Caenorhabditis elegans: one gene and its partner. The protein of the gene in region 2 purifies or fractionates together with the protein of the main gene of each other region. This does not show direct contact. Each region holds a gene or a part of one and is shown on either strand. Other genes may lie near its edges.

Region 1 (8,353 bases), on a different chromosome or scaffold from region 2:
TTTTTCTCGTTTTGATAGTCAGATATTGGACTTTTGTAGTTTTCATAAGAACTGACAGTTCCAACGTAGACAATTGCCGGTCTCATTGGTGTTCTGGCGTTGACCGTTGGATATATTTTGTTTCTATTATTTCCTGGCGAGTAAAAATCCAGACCACTTTTATGAGTGTAACCTGAAGTTTTAAAATGTGTTTTTTTAATGGAGTCAAATTTTCTATTATACCTTCGAATTTCTGACTATCACCATTAACGTTCGTCATGTTCATATCATTTGAAACGAAAAACTGACGTCTCTCACGTACAATTCCATCTGGGATGATTGAGTTGACATTCTGAATATCAAAGTTAGTATCAGAAGTTATTTTTGAACTTACAATCGGATAAAAATTGGCTGTGCCCAATACAGGTTTCAAATAATCCATTGAAAGCCTGAAAGTAGTTGGGAGAATCTGTTAATGTACAGAAGACAGTACAGAAAAATATTAAAAAAAAAAGAAACACCACTAGTCAGAAAATTGAATTGAAAACGGGCTCGAAAGAGTGAAGCTGTTATCAAATTGCCCAATTTTGATGAAATTTCTCTGAAGTTTTAGAAAATTTTTTTATGGAAATTTGAAATTTTAATTTTTAAAAAGTTTTCTTTAGATAAAAACGGAACGTTTTCCATATTAAAAAAAAGCGCCTACATCAATGGAAAAAACCCGGGAAAACAATTCGAATAGGCATAATCTGCTAAAAATTAAATGTTAATTTCCATCAGCTTCAACAAAAATAAGTTGGTGAAATTTCAGATTTTAGAAAAATCGGTTTTCTTTTCAAAATTTTGAATATCCGAAAAGTTTTTCAGAAACATTTTTGAGAAATTTCGTCCAGTTTCAATATATTTTAGTCAAGAACACACACCATCTACTTTTTTAAACATAGAAAATTCTAACTTTGAGAAATGGAAAATTTAGAGAAGTTGGTCAAATGTGTATTTCTAAATTATTTTTTTTAATGTTCGAATTTGACAAACAGGTCTTCATTTAGCAAACTACCAGCAGACTGTCAGTTAAAAAATGATATGAAAATTTTCTTAAAGCATTTTTCTATCGGCTTATGTTTTTTAAAGAACTAAATTTATCCAGAAGCCCCGTTACAAAAGCTTGAGAAAACAAAACAACATAAATCGATACACAAAATAGTCAGCCGAAAGACAAGAAAGTCATGACGCGTGGGACCGTATAGCATATTGATTCGAACCAAAAACTTGATAAAGAGTTGGAAAAGAAAGTGCCAAAGAGTGGAAGAGAAAGAGATTGCATTGTGTATGCATACATTTGGTGGTTCTACAATGCTCTTTGTTCACCTGCAACGACACATTCATGTGGAGGCACTACTAGATGGTTATGAAAAAATAAATGGCATTTTATTCAATAAATTGCTTTATAACAAAAAAAATGCTCATAACAATTGGAAACCGGATTATTAATTATCACCTATGACCCTGAAAAGAAATCACACAAATTGAGCTTTTTTACATATTATCCAATGTATGGAATCGTTTCATGTCGCTTTGCTTCGTTTTTGTTGATATTTCGAAAGAACTGCTTCCCGCGCTGGTTTTCTGAAAAATATAAGATTTTAAAAATTTATTTTTGTAACTAAAATTTCAATAAAACTGTACAATTTGAGCCTTTATCCGTCTTGCCCTCTTCTGTTCATCCTGAAAACCTTCCTTCAGTTGTTCTGTCACGAATAATACAATTTTCGTCCATCCTCTTTGAGTTGTCTGGAACAAATTATATTTGTCTGAATGCAGTTTCTATTAGGTTAACCTCTGTTCGATCTTTCTTTTCTCCCCATTCCAAAGTTCTTTCAATCATTGCAGTTGCAAACTGGTCAAGAAGATGTGCGTGGAATGGGCAGCCGTCTGAAACAGGAGGGAATTGGTAAAATATGATTGAAAATATTTCTGGGGGTTTTTTAATGCAGTGATTCATTTTTATATGCTTTTTCTAACCGTACAACTAATAAAGCTCGACCTAATAAAGCTGAAACTTCCCGAGTTGGGCAAATTTGTCCAACTTGCCGAGCTCAAAAAATGGCAAATTCGGGGAAATTGCCGCACACGATGCTCTTGTAAATCGATTCTGATCGACGTCAAAGTCAGTCCAATAGACGTCGAATTATGTCGAAGCTGGGTGTACCTGCGTCGTTTTAACTGACTTGGACATCGATCAGCATCGATTTATCAGAGCTGGTTCAAATCAAGAATTATCGGAAAATGGATCCGGAGTATCTGGAGTATAATTTTTTAGACATTCAATTAAATTTATTTATTTATAGATTTCTGTCAAATGTGATCAGATCAAAGCGCAGAATGTTTCAAAACTCACATTGATTTCTTGTTGGCCAAACATGTTTCTCACCAGCCTCTCGGAGTCCAGCTACTGTAGCTGACGGTGAATCAAGATTTGCAATTAGGTCATCCATAAGTACAGTAAATAGTTGAGCATGTTTCTTTAACCTTTCATGTCCTTCATTTTTAGTTCCAAACATTATCATTTGCCGAATTTCGGGATTTTTGAAAAACGAGTTTCGAAAGATACTGATCGCTGGTTCCAGGGCGCCTTGATTTCTTGCATGATTCCAAGTTTTCCTCACAAACAATATTTGAGGCTGCGTAAGGTGAAGAAATTGATGAATGCATGGGAACATTGTTGCTAAAATTTGTATCTCATGAATCATTCTAACTGACAAATATTTTTATCTTACGATTTGAGCTAGTCGATGGAGTTGTCTCCTTTGTCTCACTCCGAACACCTGGTCTGGTAAACTTCAAGGAGCTACTCTTTTGCATATTCGCATGATCTGGAGCATGCTCTGTCCCGCTGCTGACTGTACGTTTCACAGATATACTGGAAAAGAGATGTTTTGATAAAAAGGATAAATGTGATAAAACCCACTGGCTTCGAGGTGTGACTGCTTCAAGTAAATCCGAATTTGTTGAATCCACTGATCGCCGATTGCCTGGAGAGCCCAAATTCTGACGTGGACAGCCTGAAGATACTTTTTGTTGAATCTATGGATTTCAGATTTGGGATTTTGAGCATATTGAGGACTAGACATTTTTCCCCGGGTCTTCTGGCGCTCGCGCAGCGCCCGTGTGCATTTACCGTTTTTGTTATTTGTTTTGTGCCTTCCACATAAAAATTCGATCGTCTTTATTATATTTGGAGCAGTTGCTTTAAAAACTACATAGTTCAACCAAAATATATTTTCAAAGTGAGAAAACGGTCATTAGAAAAACAGATTATTCCGTATAAAAACTCTTACCTGTAGCCAAAGGTGATTGTTTTGAAGTCCGTGTCGAACAGAAAACCTCATCGTCTGAATTATTGTATTCATCAGTTAGACAAATTGGCGGAACGTCTTTTCCTGAAAATATATTTAATTTCAATAGTTTTTATTGGCAGTTTTACCTGGAAAATTTCGATATTTTCCTGGAGCGGATACTGGGCAGACTGCCGGAGGTGAGGATGATTGGGAATCAGAGAAAAATCTCTCTGAAAAAAGAAGTTTATTTTTCATAATTCTAGACTAACACTCACCATGAGAAGAAATCGCTGAAGCTGATCTTGGAATGACGTCACTGGTGACCCTACTTGAATTATGATGAGCTGACTTTGAATGAGATACCCGTGTGGTACCGTGTGTTGATTTAGTTGATTGGTTACCCATGTTTTGTGATTTTAAAGTCTCTGGAATGTTAACTTTGTGAAAATTTGAAAGAAAATAGAAAATATTTAAATCTCAAATTGACAATGATGGTGGCGAAAAAGTTGAAGGATGTTATTCTGAAGAGACGAGATACGCCAATGAACAGAGAGATAGAATGCGCGGTTGAGTGAGTGAGAATGGCTCATTTGATGACGTATTTTGACTAGGGTTAGAAGACTACAAAAGGACCATAAAGCGAAAGAAATAAAGAGTGAGAGAGAAAAAGAGATAAAGTCTCCGAATTGAAGAGTGAACGAGTAAAAATATGGAAAATTGGATAGACGTAGAGATATTTACAGAAAAAAAAGAAGAAGTAACCGAGTTGAAAGAACCGGAAAGTGAAGGGTTGCACAATGGATTGAGCAGCAGTGACTACTTTTATAGCTAAGGACTCTAGAATTCAAGAAAATAATGTTTCGGTAGTCACAATGTCTCGAAGCGATATTTCAAATTTGTCATAGCAAGCTCAACCAGCTCAACCCCCCTCATTATAATGTTTTCTCAAAACTTTTGAGAAATTTTTTATGTACACATGTGGTTTTTTTTGGATTTTCCTACAGTTTGGTTTTTTAGTAGAAATGCACTTAACGTACTATAACTTTTTCTCTGTTTCAGGTTTAGGAGTTTGAGCTTCAGCGAATTGTATAATCTAGTAGCTATATAAATTGAACTCCACGCTTCGTTTTAGCTATCACGTATACGTTTGAAAATGTGAGTTTTTGCCATATCTTACGCGCAAAGGTCTCACCACGCGGAAAACGAGTTACTGAAAGAAGTTTATCGGCATGATCTACAGTAAGTCGTTGACCGCGTGGCGAAACCTGGCGAGACCGAAAATGCTCATATTTAAACGTCTGAATAATATGATTTTTGGAAAAATGCATATATTATGGGGTTTCGCTAATAGATTTTGTGTTCTAGAACCGCTTGGGAAGTTTGAAAAACGCTAAACCCCTGTTGGTAAGTCTTTTGGCAAGGGGTTTTATAGCTCAAAACTTGTTATCCTTTTTATATTATTAGGACACCTGATCAGTACACTAAACCTTTTCAAGTAGGAATCGGTAACTTTCTTCGCTGTCAATGCACCGTTAAAGAAAAGAAAAATAATAAAACCTTCCTCGACTTGTGAGCTTAAACTTAATAGGATCTTGTGCAAAAACACTTCAGCTCGGATAGTAAAAAATGTCAAAAACAAATAGCATCACAAGATGGCACTTGTCAAAAAAGTATACCCCGAACAATATCACATGATGAACTTCGCAAATCGGAAATTTCCAATTGTAAGCGTCGTTTCCGAATAAAGACGACGAGACACTGCAAGCGAATTTCCGATTTTCCGTAGACTAGACAAGACGAGTCAGGGCAGATAAAAACCCGAAATCTTCAGACATTTGCAGAGTTTGAAAAGGAGGTGAAGCTACTAGTAAATTGGAATTAAACGGAGCAGAAACAGACAACGAAGACTACGTCGTCGTCACAACGATGGCGATGAAAGGAGATGCAGCAGGGAATGGAGAAAAAGAAGACGTAACACCACACTAAACAACGACACACACACACAAGACCGACGGGCCTATTTTATTTATCCTGAAAGACATAGGGCGGGCAAAAGAACGACTTTTTTGAAAGAGAAGACGAGAGGACCCTTTCGAGTAATTGAGCAGACAAGAGGAGCAGCAGGAGCCTGTCTGTTTTTCGGAAATTATCAAGCCTTGAAAGTGAGCGTAAGGAGAGAAGAAGATTAGGTGGGGGAAATGTGCAGGCCAACGAGTTAATTTCGCCTCTTTTTTCTGTGAGAGAAGGTTTTCTCTAGGGTGATATCAATATACATCTGAGCTCGATTGGTTGGTTTCTTTTATATTAGGGATGGCGGGGAAAGAAATCTTCTAGATCAAATAAAAACTAAATAATTTAAATATGAGTCACAATTGGCTTTGGATGTTTGAGGTGGCCTTTTTTAGTCCGAATTTAATTTAACTCGTTGAACTCAAATATAGAAAACCAGGCCAAAATTGTTGCAGAGTTATTTTGAATTAAAAAAATAGTTTACGAGGTGGATAAATCTAACTTATCATGTTTGAAAGTAAGCTAAAAGTTAAAAAGGTGTGCTCTGGAAAACCTTGAAGTAATCACAGTTAATTTTTGGTGTGCCCATCAGGAACCTCGCAACATTGGACAATATAAGCATTGAACACTACCTTGAGAGTGAATGAGATTTATGTCAACTTTGTTTTCTATCGAAAATTGGAGTTTGGAAAAATTCGGCTTATCTTGCAGCTTGGAGAAGTGCCGAGAAAGTGCATAAACTTAAATAGTATTTTTTAATAATTTTCCAAAATTTCTCGCAAGCGCTAATTTTCCTAGTATCAACAACTACGATAATCAAAAAAATGCCCAGGAAGATATTTCTGTTTTTTTTCAGTATTTGACCTTAAAATAAGCTCTAGGTTCACATTTATTTGTGGTCTAAGTAAAAAAAAAACGACAGGCCTGATTTTCACACAGTATCCCCACAAAAAGACCACTCTTGTTAGAGCAAACGAAAAATTTCAAAACATGAAATTTCGAGCAACATGAGAGGTGCTATGCTATTTTGAGAAGATATGATCATTAAAGATGCTGGTAGTGAAAATATTTGATGAGAATATATGTAAATTTATTCTCTATCTAATGCACGTTCTCACGATAAAACCAAGTACATAGTGCGTAATTTATCAAACAACGAGTTTCGGGGTATCTTTCTTGGTTATTTGGGTTTAATCTGTATTTGAAAATTGCACAACAATAATGGAACTCGAATGTTGGCAATTTACCAAACCTTTGACTGGAAATTTAAAAATCTACAATTTGTTAGGTGTCTTTTTATAAGCTTTGGTCATTTTGAAAAAATTAAAGTGTACATCACAGTTAAGCCAATCATTTTGCTGAAAATACTAGTGAAAACTGGAAGAACAAGGTTCTGCTGAAAAAAATGTGTGAAATTACAAAACCACATGACCCATTCATATAGTAAATCCTGAGTACACAGCCGTCTGATATGTCTCAACTAATCCGTTTCACTAATCTTCGGGTCCGAATCAGACTTCTAGTTGATGAAAAAAGAAATGAGATTGAAAGCCTCGAGACGAGAAAAGGTGCTCCTCCTCATCCAGCTCCTGTCGCTTGAATTATGCTTATGTGAGCTCTCACGGAAGTCGTTATTTGATGAGAGGGAGAGAGGATGAACGAATTTGGAGCAAAAAAAAAGAGAAAAGGAGAGTGTTGGAGACCGAGAAGCACGCAATGAATTTCCGTATATCACCTTTGATAGATTTGTGTGTCTTTTTGACTCATTTGATGCTACAAAAGTGAATGTATCGTATTTGATGGACAGGATACTGGCCAGAAAATGAGAAAAAAATTGAAGAACAATTGGATTTTTCTTTTTTCATGACGGTAAACAAAAACAAAAGGAATTTTCTATTAAAAAAAGTGAGGGTTTTCCAGAGATATTTATTTACTGGATCTTTGGTAAAAACTCGCTTTAAATTGCCAAGTTAGAATCGTTTTAGTACGAATGTGTGAGTTTCAGCTAAGATGGGGAACAATCTTTAATTTTTAAAAAATATTTATTTAAAATATTTTTGAAATTAACTAGTTGGAAACTTTTTTGGAAAGAAGAATCAAGCTTAGCTTTGGAGATGATAGAGATATTGGTACTAGTCCTAAATCACCCCGCCACTTTTTTTCTTTTTTTTTCAAATAAAAACGTGTGGAGTTTTTGTATTTTTAGGCTTAGGAAATAACCATTTCTAAGCCTAAAGATGGAAAATGGACATCACGTTTTATTAAAATGGATAATATTAAAATGAGGGGAAATAATACACAAATAAAAAAAAAAGTGGCGGGGTGATTCAGGACTAGTACCGAGATTTTTTAAAATTAATTCAACTATGTGCATCTTCAAAAAATTGTCAAAAAGAATACCTACCGTGGCGTCCTTCGCCTGGTAAGTAGGCAGGCATGATGATGTCACGGAGGCATGGAAAGTGCCTGCCACGATATTATTGCGTACGTTTTTAACATTTCTACTTTTTGGCGAGAGCCTTTACTGAGAAACCTTACATTTTATCATTTTACATGCTTGAAAAAATGCCAAAATATCGCCTACATTAGACTTTCATTTTGAATTTGCATGAAGCATGACCAGTTGTTAGGAGCAACTGATGGTAACCAGAATAGAGAAAAAGGTACTCTCCGTGACTTTTCAATGATATTTTTATATCAGAGCCAAATCATACAAGTGGTATCACAAATCAAAATCTGTTTGGATAAGTTTTGATGTCACTTGACTACTCCCCTGTCTAACTGTTGTTGAAGTGGCGTGTAACTTGAAAGCATATCCGACACACAAAAAGGACAAGACAAGATACACTTTTCTCATTCGTGCAACAATCTAGCAAAGATGACAAATATCGAAATGTGGATTTGCAAAATGGTACAATGTATGTTGATTAAAGATCTATTACAGTGAAAGAGCAAAGTACATGGAAAGTGTCGACTGGCGAGAGGGATGGTTTACGAACAAAAAACAACACATTCCTCGCTCTATT
Region 2 (7,613 bases):
TCTTACCCATCTCCTATTCTTCTCATTTTCACTATGAGCAATTTCAAATTCACCCCGAGACTAGCACAATGCCATTCACCTCTGCTCGTTCAACCTGTCCCCAGTCGATTTGTTTGAAATTTTACGGAATTCAACTTTGTTTACTTTTACTGACAGTTCAATCGACGGCTCTGCACTTTTCACACACTTTTTCACCGACTAGCTTTCATTGCTCTTTTTATTTTTTGATGTTCGCAACAGCACACAATTTGAACCAATTTGAGTAGTAAAAAAGTGTTATTGAAAACATAAAATTCTCGCTAAAACGGAGCTAATTACATTTGTGTGTCAAAAATGTATCACGTGTGGAATTTCTGCTTCACAAACAAAATAGAATCATCGATCTTTTACATGCTCGTTTGCCACCGTGCTCTTTGCCGCCTTCCTTATCGTAGTAATGACTGATAAGAAAAATTGTTGTATTACAATCAAACCAACAAATGTTTCAAGACCAGTTATCAAACGTTTTTTATTCCATTTTCATGTTGCACACTTGCCGCACAGTTGATTTTTTCTTGAATTTTCAGAATGCAATGAGCCAAGAAACAGCTGGCTCCAATTCAAAGCTCCAAATTTATCGCAAATCAGCCATGAATGTTCTACGCCGAGCGCTCAGCTTCCGGAATAAACGGTCAACAGCAAGTGAGTAACAGTCGAAGTTTTTAAATTGCCGATGGTTTTACAGAACAAGACACCGAAGACAGTTCTCGAACATCCATGGAAATGCAACCAATCACATCGACATCTCCGAACAACAACAATAAATCACGAATCAATTCATTGCCAAGTAATCATCAAAATGAGTTAAAAATATTTTTAACAGTTCATTTACAGGCAGTGATGTTCCATCTACCTCCGCATCGTGCTCTCAACCTCGAGCACCGTCAGTGTATGAAGATCCATTTGTTGCAGTGGCCGCCGATGGCACTATTCACATTAAGCATTATTACAATTTCAATAGCCGAGCCGAATTTCATCTAGATGATATTCGACATGGACATGTTGTGAGTCTATTTTCAAAATTCGTTATTGGTGGAGTATCGCCAGTGCCAAAGTGATTAAATATCATAGCAAAACTTTTCAAAAAAAATTGTGATTTTTTTTTTGATTTCCTGTCAAAAAGTGGTTCGGTTTTTGCCATTTTGGAAACCAACCAAAAAAATAAGATTTTTCTACAATTTTTATACTTTAACTTTGTTCTAAATATTTGTGTCACATGCGGCATTACTCTGGATTTCTAAAAAGCATTTTTTTTATTTTTGAAAGCATTTTTTTCAAATTATGCAATCTGCCAACTTTGACTGGAAAATTTCAAAAAATTAAATTATTTGTAGTGTCCTATTAAGAAAGTCGGTAGTTTTAGATTATTATAAATGTATGTAATGAAAATTTCCCCCAATCATAGTAAAACTTTTCAAAACTATTTGAAATGTTTTTAATTGAAAGTCGAAAAATGACAATTTTTAAGTTTTTGCCACTTATCAAGAAATCTAAAAAACTGATTTTTTTGGATCCCATACTTCCAAAAAGTGTTTGACTCAAGTTTAAAAATCTTCTAAACTTTTTATGATGATATTTAGTGATTTTAGCACCCCACTGACCGCAGTCCACTTTTAATCTACATCTGGTGGAAATTAAAATTCTATATTTTTGCAACTTTTCAGAGAAGAAATTGTCGCGTCATTAAAGCAAAAGATGTGCTGAAGGTGTTTTACGCGGCCGGAATCGACTGCAAAGATGAGTCGCTCTGCAAGAGTTGGGGAATTTGTATTAACAACGTTTGGTGGGCAAGCCATCTAAATAGGTAAACTAATTACCAAATATCGCAAAAAAAACGTTAAGCACTTAATATCAAAGCCATTTTAACAAGGAATATTCTGAATTAGGGGTGTAAAAATTTTTCACATGATTTCAAGACCAGGAAGATTGATTTTAATAAATCAAGGTTCTACTCACATCGTGAATTGAAACAAAACACAACTTATAATAATTAAATTTTTAAAAAACTCAAGCTTGTAAAATTTTTAATTATGTCAAGCTTTCAAGCACTTTACTTACTGTCCCAATCTAAATTTATTTTTGGAATTCAAAAAATAAATATATAATATAACATTTGAAAGAAGACCATAGTATATCCTGAAAATATTTAGCTGCATATGAGCAGTTTGAACTGTATATAATTCTTGACGGACATTTTTTTGTTTAAAAACTATATAAAACCTCTTAAGAAATATTGTACAGGGCCACCTGAACATAAGGTTTTTCAAATTTCAAATGACGTATACCAGCAGAAACTTATGTTTATTTTCAGGATGGAAGGTGCCAACGCGTACACAAACGTAGTCCTCGTCGAGGACAGCATGATGCACGCAGGTTTCTCTGTCATCAACATTGAAGCGTTCGCCGAGACAATTCAATGTGTCGGGTTGCCAAGAGATTCGCCTTTCCAAAATGGTCTACCCAATCCGCCGATCAGTATGCTCAAAATTCCATTTATCGACGATGAAGAAGAAGGTTTGTGCATTTCTTTTTTCAAGACTGTTAATTATTTTAAATGCCATTTTTTAGATGGACCGAAAAAAAGAAAAACTCGTCGCAATCCATCAAAAGTAAAGAGAAATTGACGAACGTTATGAATACCTTGAAGGAAAAGAAAGAGACCGTTACTCCTTCTTTATTTTTTTTAGATTTTCAAAACCAATCATTTTTGATTTACTCTTTTTCATCTGAACTCCTGTTTTCTTCTTCTCATTTTATTGTTTAATTGACTTTGAACTACCTTCAATTCATCCTCATGAAAATGTTGAACATCTCATTGTTTTAATTCATACCATCGTTTGTCATAATCCGTTAACTGTTAGTTTTATTCCAAATGAAAATTAATTAACATCAAATATTCTTAATGACAGTAGACTTTTTCGTGTCTAAATCAATGATTACATCGAACGTAGCCGACAAGTACATGGATGTCTCCAGAGTTACGTTGAACGAATCCCACGCTTCCACGCGATTTTCGGTGCATGCATGACTAATATAAATGTATGGCTCAAGACCGGAAAATTCGAATTCTTCACCTTTGAGTTGAAGTGGTTTTTCTGGGATTTGCCCAAATTTAAATTCTGCAAAATCCATTGTGTCGTCTTCATCAATCTCATCTGAAACTATTTTAATACATGTGTATTGATCAATTTACTAACGATCTCCAAAATCCTTTTCCATCAGGAACACTTTTGCAGATGGATCTTTTGGATGCTTACAACGAAGTATCACCCTCGCAACAACAGTTGTTGATCTGAAAGGAATTGCTGCCACAGAGGCTGTGAAAAGAAATAGCAATAACAAAGTTTTCATGGTAACTTTGTGAGAAAAAACTCAAACGTGGTGTTTTATATGCATTTGAATATTTTGTTTTTGGCCCGGCCCGCCTTCTATTTTATTTAGCAAACATATATTTGATATGAGCAATATATCAAAAAGGAATAACCATGGATTTACGAATATACAAACAAAATTCAATAATGCAATTTTGATCTTTGATTTTCTAAAAGTTTCGTCTTTTTGAAAACTAATTTTACTGTGATTATTCAAAACTTAAATTAGGTCTGGCTACTTGGTTTCTAGTAGTTTTCTACCCAAATGTTCAGAACTTTCAGGCACTTGTGTTTTCACTCTCCTATCAAAGGAGGAGTAACGGTTCTGACTGTTTTAAACATACAGGGCCTGAATTTGTTCAAATGAACAAACTTCGTTATGAAACTGCTCAAAAATATGTCCTATTTTTTTATTTTTTTTTAGCGCGGTTCAAAGTTTCGAAAAAAGAGCTTATTTTAGCTGAAATCTTGAATCTTTTTTCAACTTTTTCGTATCGCAGCAAGGAAATCGCAGCAAGAAAAAATTTGCCAAACATTTTAAACCAAACTAGGTATTTTCAAAATTATTGAGATTTTTTATTACAAAAATTTTTGAGCCTATTTATACTTTTCAAAAAAATTCCGAAAACAATTTACGAATTTTAGCAAATTTTTACTTTTGCGACGGTTTTACAATCATCAATTCTCAGTGATGATATATTCATTTCTCCTACTTTTTTTGCTGTTTTTTTGAATGAAAGTATCATCATGCTACCATTGTTGACGTCAGGAATCATTTAAAAAATAGAGAAATGTTTTTTTTATAGTTTGGTATAACAGAAAACTGAAATATTTCAATGACATAGAATTCTTAAGGACGGGGAAATTTGATTGGAAGTTGGAAACTGAAAACTGGGAAAACATGACAATAATATGTAAAAAGGATGTGCAGTGATGAAAGGTAATCATTGAACTTTGATTTGGTTGGACGGAATTCTAAAATTTAAATTCTGGAATTATTTTGACAGAGAGAGAAAGAGAGAGAGAGAGAGAGAGAGAGAGAGAGAGAGAGAGAGAGAGAGAGAGAGAGAAAGAGCAACAATGGGCAAAATGGCAAGATTTCAAACAAAAAAAAACAATAATAAACATTTATGGATCACGGTGTCGGAGGGGTTGCTCTTTTTGTAGTTCTTTAGCTTTATTTTTCTTATTCCTTTTAGCATTTTTCTTTTTCTTATTTTTGGATTCTGTTTTCGGATCCGCGGGAGGTTCCTCTTCTTCTTGAGGCACTTCCACATTATTCAATCGAAACTCGGATAGCGTTAACTTTCGAATTTCTTCAGCGATTGCCTGGTGTTCTCGTTCTCGCATTTCTTGAAGTTTCCGGTTCAAATCAATTCCAGTTGCATAACGAAGCCTTGAGGGAATGAATGTTCGTCTTGGAAGTGGCATTGCCCAAATGTTGCCACCACTTTTTCTAGCCTTTTCATAATTCTCAAAATCTTGCTCCGCAATTTCAGCAGCCGTCGGTCCTGATTCAGGATTAGCATTCAACCAGAGCTGCTGCAAGAAACTCGGCACCGGAGGTTGTGAAAATAAATCTCCAACTGGTCGAACAGTACTTCCATTGGGAGCTACAAGTGGATTTGGAGCACAATCATCCTCTTCGTTGACCAACTGTTGCACTGGGTACACATAATTTTGAAGATGAAGTGGATAAAGTTCCCGGAACACTGGATCATCTAGACATATTGAAAACGTTGGCGGCGGTTCTAAGACCGGCATTCTAGACATGTCGCCGTTTGCTTCTCTTATTTTCTCATTCATTTTATGTGCAATCTCGGCTGCTTGATTGAGCATTTCAAATATTTGCTGAGCATCATTGAACACTTCTTCTGTGCAGTTCGGAGTTAACATCTTCAGGAAAGCAATGTTTTTCAGCTCAGTTGCATGCTGAAAATTGTCTATTTAGTGTAATATGATTGTTTTGAAACAACAAAAAAATTAGCAATAAAGTGGTCAAAATTCATAATTTATTTCGATGCTTATCGATTTTTCTCAAACTTTGAGGATTATGTTATCATCTATGATTTTTGCTTCACGGTAATTTTGAAAAACATTTTGACCATCCCAAGGTTCCCTACTCGGAGCCATTATTTTCAGGCTACTGTTCGAGCTCAGTTCTTTTAGCTTTCATACGAAAATTAGTTATGGATTTTGCTCAGTTATTATAAATTGTAAAAATACAATAAAAATGAATAATTTTTGACAAGCATTTTATTGAGAATTATTTGAATATTCTTTTTCCAATTTTTTTTGTATTTTGATAATGTATTCTATAGCAAAACCCAAAGCAAAGTCCGCACATAACCTCCTTCCAAAACCAAGAAATCGGGCAGAAACCTGAAAAACTGGCCCTGCGGAAAATATTTGAGATGGTCAAAAGTTTTTGAAATTAGAGTGAAATGAAAAATCATAGATGGTAACATGAATTCCTTCAATTTTATGATATGAAAGTGAAAAAGCTTACATTGTGAATATTAACCCACATCGTTGTGACCTGCTGAGAATTGGCTCCTTCTGAAAACCAATCATGTGTAACATTTCCCGGTGCATCTTGGCTCTCTGAAATTTCGTGCCGCACATTTTCCGGGGTCGGGGTGAATGGCTCCCCATCCTCATCTAGGACTTGGGGTGGCCCCGAGGTGCCTTCCTCTTTCTGACTTGAAGCACCAAGTGAAAGCTCGTTAACATCTGCATGGCACGGTTGAAATTGATTCGATGGTGTCCTATGCGTGAATTGGTTCAAGTCTTCCACAGTTGTCATGCGAACGGCATGGTATACTCCATTCGGAAGTTGAACACGAACTGCATCAGGTTTGCCTAATTCTAGAGCGATTGCTCTGAAATAAAGTTTTCATTAAAACATCTTATCTGGTTATTCGGAGATTATACCTCAGGTCATATATACTTAAATAGTGAAGAGCATGTGAATCATCATACCAATGCTTGAAACAGTACACAATGTTGTGCACATTCCATTCAGGTCCAATCACTTTTTTCCAGTAAAAGTCGCTGAATAATCGAATAGTGGCGAATTGAATTCCAGTGAACCGGTACTGCCCTATCGTTGACTCATGCCCGTAGTGCCCAAAACAAACACGAACGATGTTAACACCAAGATTGAGGAATAGCTGAAGATGTTTGATTAAAAACAATCGTCTTTCGTTGTGATGTCGTATACCTTTGCATACCCGACACATTGCTCATGTTGTCCATGTGGGCAGATGTAGAGTTTGTGTTCTGCGTTTTCTTCTTCCAAACGAAAATCGGCGAAGCGGTGTTTTATGAACTTCTGAAAACGTAAATCATCAAAAAAGGAACATTTTATAACTGTAAATATAGCCCCTGTTAAAGTTATTTGAAGGTGGAGTAGCGCCAGTGGGGATTTTGTCCTAATATACTTATAATGATCAAAAATGATCGAGTGTTATAATAAAACATTCCAAAAAATTTTAGATGTTCAAAACTTGCAGTCCAGGATTTGGCAAATTGCCAAAATTTTGAAAACTATCAGCTTCCAAGGAAATCTAGAGCAATTCCGCATGTTCCGACCCCCAGAATGTTTTGAAACAAATAATTAAAACATAATTAAAAATATAAAAATCGTAGAAAAACCAAGTTTTTTTGAGGCGACTTCCAAAATCATCAGTGACAAAAATTTAGTAATTGTTACTTTTTAAAAATAAAAAAATGTCCAATTTTTTCTGAGAAGTTTTACTGTGATTTGTGGTTTCCAAAACTACAATTTTCGACTGTCAGTGAAACTTTTCAAACCGTTTTTGAAAAGTTTCACTACTATATGATATTCGGTAATTTTGGCACCATAGAAGTGATTTTTTTTAGTTTCCCGTCTGGCGCTAATCCATTTTAAAAAGTCGAAAATCGAGAGTGTGACAGTCTTCAAAACTATTTACACAACCAAAAATTCTAGAAAAAAATTGTTTTAAACGTTTTTCAAATTTTTCAATTGCATTGAAAAGGAGGGGAAACCGCTATTTTTATCTTGATTTTTTAAAGAACAGTTTTTTAAATGTAAATATTGTTATAATAATTTATATTTTAGTAAAGGTAGTAGTTCTAAATTGCGGAAATTCCCGGAGCTGCCCCAGAAGTTTTTTTTTTGAAAGTTTTGGCAATTTCCCAAAATTTTAACTGAGTTAT

Evidence for each region.
Region 1: the proteins of ttr-42 (region 2) and glb-6 fractionate together in Caenorhabditis elegans (co-fractionation; one large-scale study listed by BioGRID). This does not show direct contact.

Annotation. Positions count from the first base shown.
Region 1 is NC_003283.11:5,566,792-5,575,144, forward strand, and holds glb-6 (Globin-like protein 6), read right to left. Parts: upstream 3,743-8,353; 5' UTR 3,723-3,742; coding exon 3,593-3,722; intron 3,548-3,592; coding exon 3,464-3,547; intron 3,420-3,463; coding exon 3,318-3,419; intron 3,042-3,317; coding exon 2,948-3,041; intron 2,900-2,947; coding exon 2,757-2,899; intron 2,705-2,756; coding exon 2,378-2,704; intron 1,912-2,377; coding exon 1,817-1,911; intron 1,771-1,816; coding exon 1,666-1,770; intron 1,606-1,665; coding exon 1,516-1,605; 3' UTR 1,394-1,515; downstream 1-1,393. Other genes in the region: C18C4.7 (Golgin-84), read right to left, coding at 1-172, 223-331, 374-421. UniProt on the Caenorhabditis elegans protein: May play a role as physiological sensor for oxygen via redox signaling and/or electron transport.
Region 2 is NC_003284.9:2,573,528-2,581,140, reverse strand, and holds ttr-42 (Transthyretin-like family protein), read right to left. Parts: upstream 3,400-7,613; 5' UTR 3,391-3,399; coding exon 3,237-3,390; intron 3,195-3,236; coding exon 2,929-3,194; 3' UTR 2,879-2,928; downstream 1-2,878. Other genes in the region: H01M10.1 (SET domain-containing protein), read left to right, coding at 573-681, 725-826, 874-1,043, 1,704-1,843, 2,351-2,553, 2,608-2,663; F52H2.1 (JmjC domain-containing protein), read right to left, coding at 4,539-5,342, 5,920-6,292, 6,345-6,583, 6,634-6,744.